Daphnia pulex: one gene and its partners. The protein of the gene in region 3 interacts with the protein of the main gene of each other region in a pairwise test. Links are inferred from orthologs where the notes say so. Each region holds a gene or a part of one and is shown on either strand. Other genes may lie near its edges. The genes, in order: cyclin-dependent kinase 1-like, cyclin-dependent kinase 14-like, cyclin-C-like and cyclin-dependent-like kinase 5.

Region 1 (3,473 bases), on a different chromosome or scaffold from region 3:
AGATAGCATGCTATGACCCAGAAACTATTGGATGTAATTATAATAGAAAATGTGTATGTATACTGGGAATTAATCTTTGATTGTTTTTCAGTAAATGCCTGCCAGAAAACCAAAACCTCGGTTAAACGTCAAGCGGGCATCGCTTCGGATCTTACTCAGATTGTTGAAGCCTCGCAGCAGATGGAAAACATGCTGGACACTATCTTGGCTTATGTTGACGACGTAATGAGTGGCTCCAAAACGGCTGACAACACGTTTGGTCGTTCTCTATTAGATATGGTTCATTCGGTACCTAAAATGACACCCGACGAATTTGAAGAGATGCTTAATTCAAACCGAAAGGTAGAAAACATTACCCAATATTTACTTATTTAATCTAATTTTTGTAAAACTTTATTAATTTAGGATTTATTGATGGTATTATATCTATCACAACTTACCAAGACTCAACTGTCGCTGAACGAAAAACTCACATTGTTGACAATTTAATTCAGAACGTTGATATAAAAAATAAAAATGAACATCTCCCAATTAAATTACAATTTTCTGATGTAGTCCTCGTGAGCATATTTATTAGGAAACTATAGTATACAGTCACACGTACACAAGGGGGAAGAAAATTTCTTCGCTACCAAGGAAAAGAATCACACCCATCTTCTCTCAGAGAGCAAAAAAAATGATGATTAGGAAAAGCGAAAAACAGAATTTCAAGAAACGACCATCAGGAAGTTGGCCAGGTTTAGTAGCTATCGTTTACATGAGGAATGCTTAATTAAGCAGGCACATTGGTGGGTAAGATAGATTTATCCAGATCGGTAAACCAAGCATGATCTAAAGCATCCTGAGCCGTGATACGAAGGGCTGGATCGTAAATGAGAGTTTTTTGAAGCAGATCAAATCCAATCGAGTCAAGTTGCTTCACGGAATTTTGAAGGTGGTAAGTATTCCAATTAGGGAAAGTAGGTTTATAGTCGGGCATTTTTGAAACGCCTGGCCACATTTCCTCCGTGGGCGTCTTCATTACTCTGTGTTTCAAATAAAATAGGAACAAATGTAATTTTAAAAATAAAAAAAAAAGGACAAGTAACACTACCGGAAAATACGGTAAAGCTGATCAATTTCCGAATCTCCTTGGAACAATGGCTTTTTCGTTATCATTTCAGCCATAATACAGCCAACCGACCACACGTCTATGGGGCACGAATATCTTGATGACCCAAGCAATACTTCAGGAGCACGGTACCATAGAGTAACAACCTTCGTGAGTTCAAAAGAATTTATAGTATACGTCCATGCATTGGGAACCTTCTTTCCTTTACCTCGTGAGTGTAGACACGAACGGGAACTCCAAATACGCGCCCAAGACCGAAATCAGCTATCTTAATAATTCCGTTTTTATCGATGAGTAAGTTCTGGGGCTTCAAATCTCTATGCAAAACTCGACGTCTATGACAATATAAAATGCCTTCCAAAATCTAGAGGGAAAATATAAATCAGGCCAATATATAAATGAGTCCTAAATCTTCTAAGCAAACCTGGTGGCAATAAGACTTAACAAGAGTTTTATCCATCAACTGCCCAGTTGGAATGCTGTCCATGTACTTTTTAAGGTCCATTGACAGGAACTCAAAAATTAAATACAGCTTTCCTTCTTGCATCAAAACATCCTCCAGACAGACGATATTGGGATGTAGCAGCTCTTTCAAAAGTGATATCTCCCTGATGGCTGTCGAAGGAACACCATCATCTTCATTTTCAAGCCTGATTTTCTTCATGGCAACAAATTGTTGAGTCTTACGGTTTTTAGCCTTGTAGACAACACCATAAGTACCTTTGCGAAACAAAAGTTTTAAAATCAGTTCAAGTTACACAGCTTAGTGTACCAGGGATCATTACCTTCACCGATCTTTTCTATTTTGGTAAAGTCTTCCATTGCAGAAGGCATCACTATTGTTTGTTAAGAAACAAGAACAAAAACCAAAAAGTGTGAAGAATTGAAATCTCGGGAAAGTAACGGAAATTTGAAGTCGAATGGCAGCAAACAAAAACTGGAGTGACGTATTCTTCGTATTCCACCTGCAAATCAGATTGTCATCAATTGATTCGTAAGACTCTTGCATAAAATATTTCGTTACACGATAAACAGAGAATAATCTAACAAAGTAAAGAAAGTTCGTACCCAACGTGTTTCCACAGACTCGACTTTAAAGGAAAAGGTGAGCACACTTGGATGTCAAAGAGACGGTGGCGGCCGTTGGACTAAGGAATGTAACCGCCAAATTTTGAAACGACTTCATCACTTCACAGAATCACGGCCCTCTATGGGTGATAATCAGAAACCCATTGGACAAAATGGATGTATTTGACGAACCTACTATACGATTTCGAATTTGTTATAGTTCTTTTAAACTTTTTTAAGGTTTTGAATTAAAACTCAAATTAAAATAACAAATTCCCGCTGGTGATTTCAAGTTATAATTGTCTATTAGTTCGAATGACGCTAGTATTATGAATGAATAAAAACCCATACAACTTATACAAGTTTGAAAAACTCATTAACATTATCGATATTATTTTTAAATATCATTATATTTTAAATGAACTGTTTATTACCACTATAATCGAAACATTTTTACCGGTAGACTAGAAAATATTTCAGCTCAAAATTTCAGCACAAAATAATTTCTAAAAACATTGTTACCCGCAAGGCAAGCCGTAATGCAGGAATGGTCAAGTATTATTTTTAAGAAAGCCGTGCAAGCAGGTAAAAAAATCTTCTATAATTTCCGACATGTAATTTTCGAAAATATCTTACTAAAATTGTGAAAACTCTTAAAAATTTAGAAAAGAACACTTAAAACAGATCAAACAATTTAATTTACTCTTCCTCCGAATTTCAGTGAGGTAGCAGAACATGTGACAAATATTTTTAGTTACAAACTTCAGAAATGATGGAATTGTTTTACAAACGAATCTGTAATGGCATTAAAAGACACAAAGAACAAAAGAGCCGGCTGCCTTGGTCTTTCTATTCTACTATAAACGGATGATCCTGGTGGAATTTTTCATGAATGAATAGTTCTTCGTACGGCACCCATACTTGTCCAAATATAGCCAGCTTCTTTTTCACTAGACACTCGAACATTTTCATCCAGTTTGTAATATTCGTTCGGCGCATGCATTACGAAATCAAGATAATCCAGCTTACGTGGCAATTCTTCTTCAGGACCTAAACCAAGACTGTTTTAATGCTGTACAGAAAAAAAAATATAAAATTCACATACCTAAAATATATGTCTGTGGATCAAATCCCACATCTGGGGGTGGTGAACTTTGAGTTGGGATGAGCCAAGTTAATACAGCACTTTTTTCACAAAATTGGTCTTGCAGAAGCCCACGAATTTGTGCATAATAAACTCCATCATCTTCATCTGTGACTGAAACTATGTCCCCCACTTGATAATAAATGTCAT
Region 2 (4,024 bases), on a different chromosome or scaffold from region 3:
TTTCGGGATAGGAAGGAAGGAAATGAAAATAAAAATTTCATTTCTGAAATTTTCTTTTTCTTAATTTTTTTTTTAGTTTTGTGTTTTAGTTATTTAAAAAAATAATTAAAATTTGGCCTTGTTTTTCAACTCCTGGGCCGCTCTGAGAACGACAGGAGGGAATTTCCGCTCTTCCGGGTAGAGACCGACGCCCGGGACCGTGAAAATGGACACGTCTATTAAAATAATAATCAAAACAATTCAAAAGGTTGTTGAAATTATTTCAAAACAGAATAAGAAGGAGCCTAAATTCTTTGTTACCGTCAGACAGGTTAAATAGTTGCGAGGGCAGCTCCTGGAAGAATTTGTGCCGGACGGCCGTTTCGCCCGTCAGTCGGGTGCTGGGCTGCAATTGGAGCAGTTTCGAGGCCAAATTCTCGGCCTGGCTAATGTCGTAGAGACGAGGGAACGCGTGGCCCAGCCTTTGCGTCCGGTAAAAGTTCAAGCGCTGCGGCTTGTAGAGCGGCAGACGGGACACGCCCGGCCACGTCGCTTCCGTCGGCGTCCCCAAAATCTGTGAGACCCACAAAAATTCATCAACAAAGTCAATTAATACAAAATTGAGCAAAAATTTTACCTTGAAGATTCTTTCCAATTGATCGGCAGCGTCTTTGACGCCGGGAAATGCCGGACTGCCCGTCAGGAGCTCGACAAAGATGCAGCCAACGCCCCAGAGGTCCAGCGGCGAAGAGTATTGCGTTGAGCCGAGTAGGACTTCAGGCGGCCGGTACCAGAGGGTCACGACTTCGCTTGAGAAGGTGTGCGACGGAACCGATTGGGCGCGGGCCAGCCCGAAATCGGCCAATTTGAGTTCGCCGACTTCGCTGATGAGCAAATTCTGCGGCTTGAGATCCCGGTGGAGGATCTTGCGCCGGTGGACGTACGAGAGGCCACGCAGGAGCTGAAACAGGAACAAACGGACGTTGTGAGCCTGTAATCCGCCCGGATGCCTCTCCAGATACTGAGCCAAATCCGAATGCTGTCGAGAGAAAGAAAAATTAAAATCGATTCAAACGGAATGTGCCAAATGACGAGACTTACGACGTATTCAAAGACGAACGTTAGCGACGTTTTCGTGTGCACAATGTCGTGCAGGGTGACGACGTTGGCGTGACGCAGGTCACGAAGTAGAGAAGCTTCACGGATGGCCGTGAATGGAGCACCTTCTTCTTCCTGCAAACGAATTTCCTTCAGCGCCACCACTTGCTGAGTCAAACTAAAATTAAAAGAAACAAATTGGTCAGAAATGTCACCAACATTTTCGAATAACTCGACTCAAAGTTTTTACTTGCTGAATCCTCGGTAGACGGTGGCGTAAGAGCCTTCGCCTAGCTGCTCCAGTCGTAGGTAATTCTCGATTTTGCCAAACGGACTGGTTCCCTATTAAGGCGGGAAAGTTTGAAACATATAAAAAGCAGAAAAAGGAACGGATGAAAATAAAAAGATGAATTGAATACACACCCCGAAGGCTGAGTATCTTTTGGAGCGACGAATAGACTCGGAGGGTTTCAAATTGATGGCGGATGCGCTGGGTAGGACGACACTGGCTCCGGCCAGGTGAGGGTCGATGGGCTGGTGTCGGTAAACCTCCGATTTGGGACGCTGTTTCAGGTGGGACGAGGACGATTTCTTACTACGTCTCAGCACCACTTGTTCACCTCCAACCGTAGCAATTCGGCTGCTGGTATCTTGAGCACACGCATCGTCACTTCCCAAACCGGAATCGGCACCACCAGAACCCTGTCGACATTAATACAAAAATAATAACATAAGAAATGGAACAGGGGAAAACAAATTTTAGATTCAATTATACCTTCAATTTTTCGAATTCTGGATCCCGGCTGGCGCTGAGCAAATCTCCGTCACTTAGTCGTAGCCTCTCCCATCGGAGGTCTGGCTCACCTTGCCCACCAGATGCATCACCATTCTCCTGCAGCGAGTCCCTGGTTTCGCTGTCCAGCTTGTCCAGATACTCGTCAGAGAAACCTGCTTTGCCCCTCATGCTGAGTCCGTTGTGGTCCTTGCGGTAGCCCATGTGAGAGAGTCTGGTCTGAGATCTTGTTCGGCTGATGGACCAGTCTTCTTTTGCCAGAGCTGTCGAGAGAGAGAGAGATAAGAAATTAAAAGAGGCAACGGGGGGAAAAGGTGATGCAAACACTTACAGGCCAGCCTGCCCAAGCTGTCACTGAGTCGTTTCCTCAGCCTGGCCACCTTGCTGAGCTTGTTCTTGGTTTCCGACATGTCGAACTGGAATGAGGAAACTCTTGGGTATTAGGCGGATCACTGACCGAGCACCTGCATTTCTCCTATGAGCAACTGATGGTGACGTAGAGATTGGCCAACACTTGAGATATGGTGGTCATTGCTAAGGTTGCACTCCCCTTTTCGTCGCGAATATCCCACACGAGCCGATAGCACAAAGGAGCTCAGACGACAAAAATTGGGCGGTTGCGAGTCGTGATCGAGTGGGCAGTAGTAGGATGTGGGAGGGGGCCGCGATCGAATCTAAACTTGGAAGCCAAATCAAAGCCCGATAAGATAACAGAGCGCGGGCTCCGTACGAACGCGCAAGTCCCTCACAAATCGCCACCGATTTCTCGTTACCTTCTGCTCACTTTCTCACGCAGACTGGTGCAACTTTAACGAGTGGTATCTGTCAAAATCGGACGACAGTGTGTGTATGTGTGTGCTAAGCAGCCATGTTTCTAGTATTGTGTGTGTGTGTATAATGCCGTGAGCCTCTCTCTGATGTGTGTGTACAGCAGAAAGAAAAAAGAGAGGGGGAGTGTTTTAAAGCACAGCGTTGTCACGTTTGGCAAATGATCATCTGTCAAATCGATCCGTTAGAGAAAAGGACAACAACAGAAAACTGGCTTTACAACAGGAGAGATAACCTACTACTCTACATTAGATGTATATTTTCCATTTTTTTTTAATTTTACCTCGTGAAATCTTGACCAAACGAGTTAGTATTTACATAAATTTAATGTCACCCCCGAGGCGAATGCACGAAATGAAATTTTTTTCCCAACTATTCCAGAAATGTTTTGTGAGTCACACAACTGGTTCTTTTCGGGAGTTTCACCTTGAAAAAAAATACACAAAAAATAATGATACTCAAGCCGAGTTTGTGTAGTCGTGCTTTATTATTCATCGATTGTGTTTGCTAATACAATAGAAACGCTATGAATAATAGATCAAAAGGTATCTATAAAATACACGAAACTTTCTATGAGCTGCGCTATATAGTATAGAGATATGCTCATTAACTTTTCCCATGGCCGATAGATTTCAAGTAGATTGTGTCCTGGATAAACACTGGTGGTGCTAGCCAGGCTGGGAATCAAAGGTTTTCTGTCGCCTTTTGTGATGGGCGACTCACCTTTTGCTTGTACACACACACGACTATCGCTCAAAGGGTGTGGCTGGCTCTGGTCGTGTGTGTCAGTCGTGAGTGAGTGATATTTCCCCCCCCCCCTCTTTTTCCATTCCATAATAGACGACACACCTCCCTGGAGCCCATCATCCCGCAAATGCTCTATAACGTATATAAATAAATCAAACTTTATGGTTGTATGGCAGACTACTATTATATAGTCTGATGGTTCGCTAGGCGCGGGTGAGATTGAAACTTTTCTTATTCGACCAAAGTAGAGAGATGAGAAATGCATAAATAATCCACCCGCAGCTTTTTAGTCACGCCGTCGTTATATTCCTTTTGTTAAGTCCCGGTCATATTCATATTTCCTCATTAAAGAAAAGTCTTAACGTGTGACGTTTTTATATTACAATGACTTTGCTGCTGTAGGAAGATTAGAGTCACGCTCCTTTTGGAAAAAACCGTCAAAATTAAATCGAAATTCTGCCGATTCATTTCCGATTGACTTTCAAATGTCGAAAATTTGGGTCGAATTGGAAAATGAGCGGCCATTTTGATGACGTGTCAAGGCTGTAAGGATATGTGTACCTTATGACACTATCGACA
Region 3 (3,452 bases):
CGCTCTCAGTTTTGAATTTGTTACGTTTAGATGGGTGCGTGGCAAAATTTAAAATCCCCTGTAAACAACATGTATAACAATAGGGAAAAAACCGTGATAATTTTACAACCGGCTCAACCCGGATCTAAACATGCTAAACAGTTTAATTTTCTTTATCCGAGCTGTTGTTGTGTAACCGACACGCAACTCTTTTCCTCAATGTTGCCGTTTGTTTTCGGCAGGTTGTCATGATTTTGTATTTCGGGAAATCAGCCCTGAATCCATTTATTTACGGATGGAAGAACCGCGATTTCCGACTGGCTTTCGCCCGTTTGCTCCGCTACGTCCCCTGCTCCAAGTGGGCGATGGAGCGCTCGCTCAGCTCGGTGGAAATGGCCACCGGAATCGGATCGAGAGCTGGATCCATCCAGCCGCACGATCGACAGCGACTCAGTAAAATCTATCAGCTGGAGCTGCCACCTATCGAGTGGCAAATCAACTCCACCGACCTCTCCAACGACGACTACCTACAACGAACGATCCCGCCGGATCAGCAACAAGTCACGGACTTGTAAAAATTCACGACGGCACGTTTTGAAATAGTTTTTGTTTTTTCACGTTACGCCGGACGCATGCCAAGAATCGTTCAAGTCAATTCTCACGGGGGCTACACTCTTTATTCATGCAGGATGCCTCTGCTTCTTGGCCTGTCCATCGTTGCTGTTGACTGATGCGGGAGATATGTCACATGATTTTTTCCCCCCATCGGTTGTGTTGATGATATTAAAATATTTTCATGTCTTGTGTATAGGCTCCATTGAATGTTGATTGTATTTTTCGTTCGTGCCGATGCCACGGGATTCAAACTCTCTCTGACTGTCCATATCGTCATATAGCCCACACATATTTTGTATCATCTCTGTTTTCTTACTCAATGGTCCATTCCGCATTTTGTATTTTCTTATTTTTTTGCAACGCATTTCTTTTCGGCCTGATGTACTCATGATTCTCGTTGTTGTAAAACGGACAAGTGGTCAAATTCCTTCGTGTTTAGTAGCCAAATTTACATACTCAATTATTCATGGATCGTTTGTAACTTTGTAAAATGTAACAAACATTGTGTTATGAACGTTTCGTTAGGCGACAATAATATGTAAACAAATACGCTGTGTAATGAGTCTCAAAAATATTAAATCATGTTTATTTACGTCGAACCAAAGTAACTCATTGCGTCATCATCCTAATCACTCAAAAACAGTCATACAGTAAGTCATAAGTTTACAATTAATTAATTAAAACCAAATGGAATGCAATGTTTTGTTTTGTTGAACGCTAATAAAACTTTAAAAAAAACAGAACAAAATCACGAATACGATCGTTCACAAATCACTAAATCAGTAAATCACGATGTTTTCTTTTCTTTCGTTTATTGGCGTGCTCGGGTGCGAAAAGGCTTCCATGTTAGAAAATCCGGGCACGGCGACATTTTAATAAGCGCCGCCTTACGTCGTCTAACCTAACAGTGTCGAGCATCGTTTACACACAGTAAACAAGTTAAACCTCGGCCGCAGAGTATGGCTGGGAATTTCTGGCAAAGCTCGCATTGGTTAGTTTTTATTTGTCTAACGTTTTGATTCACATTTAATTACTCACTTTATTATTAGTCAGCAGTGGCTACTAGACCCTTCTGATTTGGTTCGAGAACGCCAAGGGGATTTCGCCATCGTCACGGAGGAAGACTATCAAAAACTCTTCATCTTCTTTAGTAACTGTAAGTTTATATTAACTATGGAATCATCTCCTAAATGTTGAATAATAAAAGTGTCTTTCTCATGTTAGTCATCCAGGTTCTTGGTGAGCATTTGAAACTCAAACAACAAGTCATAGCGACTGCCACAGTTTACTTCAAGCGGTTTTATGCCAGGAATTCCTTGAAATGCATTGATCCACTGCTACTTGCCCCCACATGCATTCTGTTGGCTTCAAAAGTCGAAGAGTTTGGTGTAATTTCGAACAACAGATTAATCACAACATGTCAATCAGTTGGTATGTGATCTTTTCATAAGACAAAATTTGTTATTGTGATTCAATCAACTTCTTAAACAGTCAAGTCAAAGTTCAACTATGCCTATCCTCAAGAGTTTCCCTACAGAGCACAACACATCCTTGAGTGTGAATTTTATTTATTGGAAAACATGGATTGCTGTCTAGTTGTTTACCAACCTTACAGGTGATCAACTGTTTCTGAGAAAATTTAAAGCATAATGTAATAATGTTTTCATTTGAAATTTCCACACAGACCACTTGTCCAATTTGTTCAAGACATTGGGCAAGAAGATCTTCTTGGATTGTCATGGAAAATAGTCAATGATAGCCTAAGAACTGATATATCTCTTCTGTACCCCCCTTACCAAATTGCATTGGGTTAGCTTGAATTATTTTTGTCTTTTATCATGTGAACTCTACTTCATTTATTTCTTTCTTTTCTTCTGTATTAGCTGCCATGCAAATGGCTTGTGTTGTGCTTCAGAAAGACGGGAAAAATTGGTTTGCGGAAATTGCCGTCGATACGGATAAAATTCAAGAAATAACGCGTCAAATTCTGGCTCTGTACGATCTCTACAAGACCTACGACGAGAAAAAAGAAATTCAGGGTTTGTTGGCCAAAATGCCTAAACCCAAAACGCAGCCAAGTCGGTAGGATATTCAATTTCCTATTTAGATCCCAATTCTTTCTTATTTGATCACATTGCAAAGAATAAAATTTTAAAATTGTTTAATACACTGTGATAACTATGTAGGCCTCCCTCGTCAGCACAATCACAGGATGGAATACAGGGCACAAATGACCAGTCCATGGGTGTGACAAATTGATTATCATTATCATTCTCATTTTATAAACTGAAAAACACAAAAAAAACTGTGTTATGATCAACTATTTAATACATGCTTTCTTTTACAATGAAAATGAGAACGCAATTTCTCTATTCTAGTAGTTTAGAAACAACATCAAGGCGGGGAGTACGTATGTAAGCGGCTTCGTTGAAAACGTTTCCGCGCTGTTACTTTGTTGGATTTTCCATCGTGCAATATTTTCGTTAGGATTGCCTTGATCACCGTCAAACCAAATACGCATGCAGGGCTCTGAATTATTGGTATACTTCCATGAATGATCCCAAACCTTTTAGAAAATAAAAATGTAATCAAAATTCTAGGGAGAATGTTAATACTGTTTACCCTTTCACAAAAATTAGATGAGTTTTGAAAGATATCGGAAAAGGTGCGACATTCGGATTCAGGTCGGCAGTGATTGGTCCCATTAATCCATTTGAAGTTTAATGTCCAATTGTCTGTACATGTGTAATCATCCTTGCAAGCATTGAACCAATCATCACAATCAGTGGCGCAAAGAGGCACGTCCAAGAATCTTTCTCTGCGCATTTTCATGTTTACCTAGATAAAAAAGAAAATAT
Region 4 (4,001 bases), on a different chromosome or scaffold from region 3:
TTAAGGAATTTCTCAAATTCCTCGATGACATAAACGATGAAACTAAAATTGTGTACCTCAGCTGATAAAACGTGAATTTCGGGCGAAACACCAACAGTGACGTAGTTGTCCAATACAGAAATTATTGACGGAAGAAACTTTGCCATTTTGATTTTCATAGAATGGAAAATTAATATTAAAATATTTAGATTGCAGGACGTGGCAGATGGTGAATCTTGAATTATCATGGATTTTAACACATCGCTGGCGAGTGAATCGTATTGGTCATCCTAAAAAATTGGTTATAAATCTTTTGCCACTTTAAATAACTCGAGAAAATAGCTAACTTGATTCCACTGAGACGGATCATCTGGATCCAAGTTCTGAGCTTTGAGGCAGATGTCGAGGCACTTGTACAAATTTAACTTGTCATCGAATTCAACGTTTTTCTTTAAAGCACTAAATATGACTGCAAACCATCCTCGTTGGAGCAGAGATTTTGGGTTGAGCTGTGCAAATGACAAGGGCATTATTAGCAACACTAGCCGAAATTGGAAGACATTTCTTTTATCCATACACTTAATATATGATGAAGACACTCTAGGCCTTTCTTCTGGTAATCTGGTTCCCAATCATCGAATAACACTAAAGAAACAGGCACAGCAAAATCTACCGATTCATCAATAGAAGGCAGCTAAAAAAATGAATTGTGAAAGTTTAAGGTTTAATAACTTTCATTTGAATTTTTGATACCATAGTATTGCTGATAATCCAAACAAAACAACTGACTGCTGCAGGGTTTTCTTTGATTTGGTTTTTCCCTAGCTTCGGTTTAAGCTGTTGAAGAGTGGAATAAGCAACACCGTCCATGGCAAATATATCCTGAATATTTTGGAGGTGAAGCTTGGAGAGCAAAAGGTTAAGGAGATCTTTCACATTATCAACTGATTTCTGAGTACTCCATTCAGAACAAATACTGTGCTCACCGCACAGGATGAGTAATGACAATAAAGCTAGATTGTTTTTGGTCCACTCTTCTTTTGTTACGGAGGTACCATTCAGAACTAGCTTTTGTAATTCACATACGGCGTCATCGACTTTACTTGACCATTCACGTTGAAATCCTTTTTCGAAGTGGCTTCGTTCGTTGATAACTTTGACGGGGGGAAGGAGAACTTTCCTAGCTATTTCAGCTACTTCACCCATCGCACACATTGATTTTGCAAAATGTAAAATTTAAAATCCTTGAAGAAGAAAAAACGGCTTAAGGATGCCAATCGTCCAACACAGTTCATAAACATTAGATTTAGAAGAATTTTAATTGAACTTTTGTAACTTTTTTATTTAATTAGTGCAAAAGTAACGAAACTGAGAACAAATTTGAACTGACCACTTGAAAAGAAAAAGTGACAACATGAGCAGACGTAATATTGCAGACGAAAATCTTTCGCCATCTAGCGTTGGAAATTGCAAGTCTCAATAGAAACTGTCAAGATTGATCCTGCCGGCGTCTGCCATAACAATAAAAAAACAAAAACAAAAACGCTTTGTGAGTGCGACTGCGAGAGTGTTTTAATTTTGTTTTAAGTTGATTAAGAGTTTCCCGAGAATCAACGGGATTTATTGTTCTATAATGCAGAAGTATGAAAAATTAGAAAAAATTGGCGAAGGTAATTTTCCCGTACATGTTTGTTTTCCAACCGACACTGAGGATTAAAAGCATACAGACGTTTCACATGTGTGTAGTGAAATTAGCAAGGAATTAATCTCCATCACTTTCTTACATTTCAATAGGAACATATGGTACTGTGTTTAAGGCCAAAAATAGAGAAAATCAGGAAATTGTGGCTCTGAAACGTGTCAGGCTTGTAAGTATATAACACATTTCTTTATATATGATTATTTTAAACTAACCATTTTTATTTGAAAAATTCAATAATAGGATGATGATGATGAGGTATGTCACTTTATATTATTGATCAATCACACCAAGCACTTTTCATTTTATTTCATTTTTCTGGCATAGGGGGTTCCATCAAGTGCCTTAAGAGAAATATGCTTATTGAAAGAACTTAAGCACCGTAATATAGTGAGAGTTTTTCTTTCATTAGCACAATTCTGTACACTTTCTATACTAAGCACATTTCTAAATAACCAACAGGTTCGATTACATGATGTCCTCCACAGTGATACAAAGTTAACCCTAGTATTTGAGCACTGTGACCAGGATTTGAAGAAATACTTTGATAGCTTGAATGGGGAGATAGACAGTGAGCAAGTCCAATCACTGATGTAAGACATCCATTTTGTGCACAAAAAATTTGCTGTTAATTAATTTTCTCCTTTGTCTGAAGGTATCAACTTTTAAGAGGTCTTGCATTCTGCCACAGTAAAAATGTTTTGCACAGAGATCTCAAACCTCAAAACTTGTTGATTAATAAGGTAATGTTTAAGTTTTGGGGCATTTTTAGCTTACCCAGATGATATTAACCCTTTTTTTTAGGATGAGTATTTAAAAATTTGCGTTCACTTACAATCAATTTATTTTTAGAACGGTGAGCTGAAGCTTGCAGATTTCGGCTTAGCAAGAGCATTTGGTATTCCTGTCCGTTGTTATTCGGCTGAGGTTGTTACACTGGTAATATACATAATAATTTGAATTCTAAAAATTACAAACATATCTAACAATTTGTAAAAATCAGTGGTATAGACCTCCCGATGTTTTATTTGGTGCCAAGCTGTATACTACTTCCATTGATATGTGGTCTGCGGGCTGCATATTTGCTGGTAACGTTTGCTGTCCTATTCAATTTCGTGATCAGTATTACATCTCTCATTCTTTTTAGAACTTGCCAACGCGGGGCGACCCCTTTTTCCTGGAAGCGATATTGATGACCAACTCAAACGGATATTCAAGTTACTTGGTACGGAATTCTAAAGTGGTTTACGGAGGGCAATTATTTAATAATTAAATTAATCGATAGGAACTCCAAACGAAGAAGTTTGGCCTGGTATATCTCAACTGCCAGACTACAAGCCATTACCCATCTATCAACCAACAAGTAGCTTCGCGCAAGTTGTTCCAAAAATGAGTCCCAAAGGCAGAGATTTACTTCAGGTATTGACTATAATTTTGATATTTCTCAACTTTTTTCTGACTTCCCTTTTGAATTCCATAGAAATTATTACTGTGCAATCCTGCTCTTCGGATTTCTGCAGATGACGCGATGGCGCATTACTATTTTACCGATTTACCTTCAAGTATAAAACATCTATAAGTTATTTTGATTTTTAATTGTAAGACTTAAATTTTGTATCCCCAAACAAAATGATTCTAGAATATTTTTTATATCGAGCAAATTCCTTTTTTATCGATTCTTTTTTTCTTTACCGTGAACACATTGTACTTGCGCGTACATTTTAGAGGATTGTGGTTAGTCAAATTGAATTGCAGTCCAATACAATACATAATTCGAATGGTAAACTAATATTCACATGCGGATGTTGGAGAAATCCTCTTGGTGAAGTTACTCCGTCTTCTGCCTTTTTTTGGCACGAATGTCGGCCAATGTTTGCTCGATGGAGCGTTGATCTTTTTTGTTCTCGGATGAAACAAAACCGTATTTTCGATTTACCTGAGTAACTTTAACAGCATCTTTTACTGCTTCTTTACCTAGTAGATGTCAAAATTTAGTACGTAGGGCGTTTTGTTGTGCTTAATTTAAATTACCGATTAACCGATCGTATTTGTTAACATATTGAGCTGACGATACTGTACTGTCACTTTTTGAAGCTGGTTGCTCGTCCTCCTCATCTTCAGGTTCGGGATTCTACAAAAGATCAATTCCTTATTAGTTCACTCAGAATAATAATAGCTTTGAAATATACCTGTTTGACTGAATCTGGATTCCATGGTATACCCTTTCTGTAAGCATTTAATTCATCTGGGCCTGGAGTAAATTCTTTTTTATAGACAACCACATGTCTGTCAACATCTTCTTCCCCAAATGAAAATGCAGAAA

Evidence for each region.
Region 1: the proteins of cyclin-C-like (region 3) and cyclin-dependent kinase 1-like interact in binary tests that used the Drosophila melanogaster proteins (3 or more experiments, as listed by UniProt). The link is inferred for Daphnia pulex from reciprocal best matches to the Drosophila melanogaster genes CycC and Cdk1.
Region 2: the proteins of cyclin-C-like (region 3) and cyclin-dependent kinase 14-like interact in a two-hybrid assay, tested with the Drosophila melanogaster proteins (2 studies listed by BioGRID). The link is inferred for Daphnia pulex from reciprocal best matches to the Drosophila melanogaster genes CycC and Eip63E.
Region 4: the proteins of cyclin-C-like (region 3) and cyclin-dependent-like kinase 5 interact in binary tests that used the Drosophila melanogaster proteins (3 or more experiments, as listed by UniProt). The link is inferred for Daphnia pulex from reciprocal best matches to the Drosophila melanogaster genes CycC and Cdk5.

Annotation. Positions count from the first base shown.
Region 1 is NC_060026.1:11,477,868-11,481,340, reverse strand, and holds cyclin-dependent kinase 1-like, read right to left. Parts: upstream 2,331-3,473; 5' UTR 2,180-2,330; intron 2,077-2,179; 5' UTR 1,946-2,076; coding exon 1,897-1,945; intron 1,832-1,896; coding exon 1,536-1,831; intron 1,476-1,535; coding exon 1,320-1,475; intron 1,258-1,319; coding exon 1,094-1,257; intron 1,026-1,093; coding exon 773-1,025; 3' UTR 553-772; downstream 1-552. Other genes in the region: eukaryotic translation initiation factor 3 subunit F-like, read left to right, coding at 1-33, 92-342, 406-489; GATA zinc finger domain-containing protein 1-like, read right to left, coding at 3,066-3,229, 3,285-3,473. UniProt on the Drosophila melanogaster protein: Plays a key role in the control of the eukaryotic cell cycle. Required for entry into S-phase and mitosis.
Region 2 is NC_060026.1:753,705-757,728, reverse strand, and holds the start of cyclin-dependent kinase 14-like, read right to left. Parts: upstream 2,822-4,024; 5' UTR 2,281-2,821; coding exon 2,202-2,280; intron 2,134-2,201; coding exon 1,853-2,133; intron 1,780-1,852; coding exon 1,501-1,779; intron 1,420-1,500; coding exon 1,328-1,419; intron 1,256-1,327; coding exon 1,081-1,255; intron 1,019-1,080; coding exon 617-1,018; intron 554-616; coding exon 301-553; intron 216-300; coding exon 106-215; 3' UTR 1-105.
Region 3 is NC_060017.1:5,572,598-5,576,049, reverse strand, and holds cyclin-C-like, read left to right. Parts: upstream 1-1,425; 5' UTR 1,426-1,553; coding exon 1,554-1,585; intron 1,586-1,643; coding exon 1,644-1,750; intron 1,751-1,818; coding exon 1,819-2,025; intron 2,026-2,085; coding exon 2,086-2,209; intron 2,210-2,278; coding exon 2,279-2,403; intron 2,404-2,477; coding exon 2,478-2,676; intron 2,677-2,780; coding exon 2,781-2,853; 3' UTR 2,854-2,947; downstream 2,948-3,452. Other genes in the region: adenosine receptor A2b-like, read left to right, coding at 222-554; folate receptor alpha-like, read right to left, coding at 2,969-3,160, 3,217-3,432. UniProt on the Drosophila melanogaster protein: Component of the Mediator complex, a coactivator involved in regulated gene transcription of nearly all RNA polymerase II-dependent genes.
Region 4 is NC_060026.1:15,917,784-15,921,784, forward strand, and holds cyclin-dependent-like kinase 5, read left to right. Parts: upstream 1-1,469; 5' UTR 1,470-1,612; coding exon 1,613-1,649; intron 1,650-1,773; coding exon 1,774-1,847; intron 1,848-1,921; coding exon 1,922-1,936; intron 1,937-2,005; coding exon 2,006-2,068; intron 2,069-2,140; coding exon 2,141-2,271; intron 2,272-2,333; coding exon 2,334-2,421; intron 2,422-2,530; coding exon 2,531-2,617; intron 2,618-2,681; coding exon 2,682-2,766; intron 2,767-2,825; coding exon 2,826-2,903; intron 2,904-2,963; coding exon 2,964-3,097; intron 3,098-3,158; coding exon 3,159-3,257; 3' UTR 3,258-3,463; downstream 3,464-4,001. Other genes in the region: sperm-associated antigen 7 homolog, read right to left, coding at 3,507-3,652, 3,710-3,809, 3,868-4,001. UniProt on the Drosophila melanogaster protein: Probably involved in the control of the cell cycle. Interacts with D1 and D3-type G1 cyclins. Possible regulator of neuronal differentiation and/or development.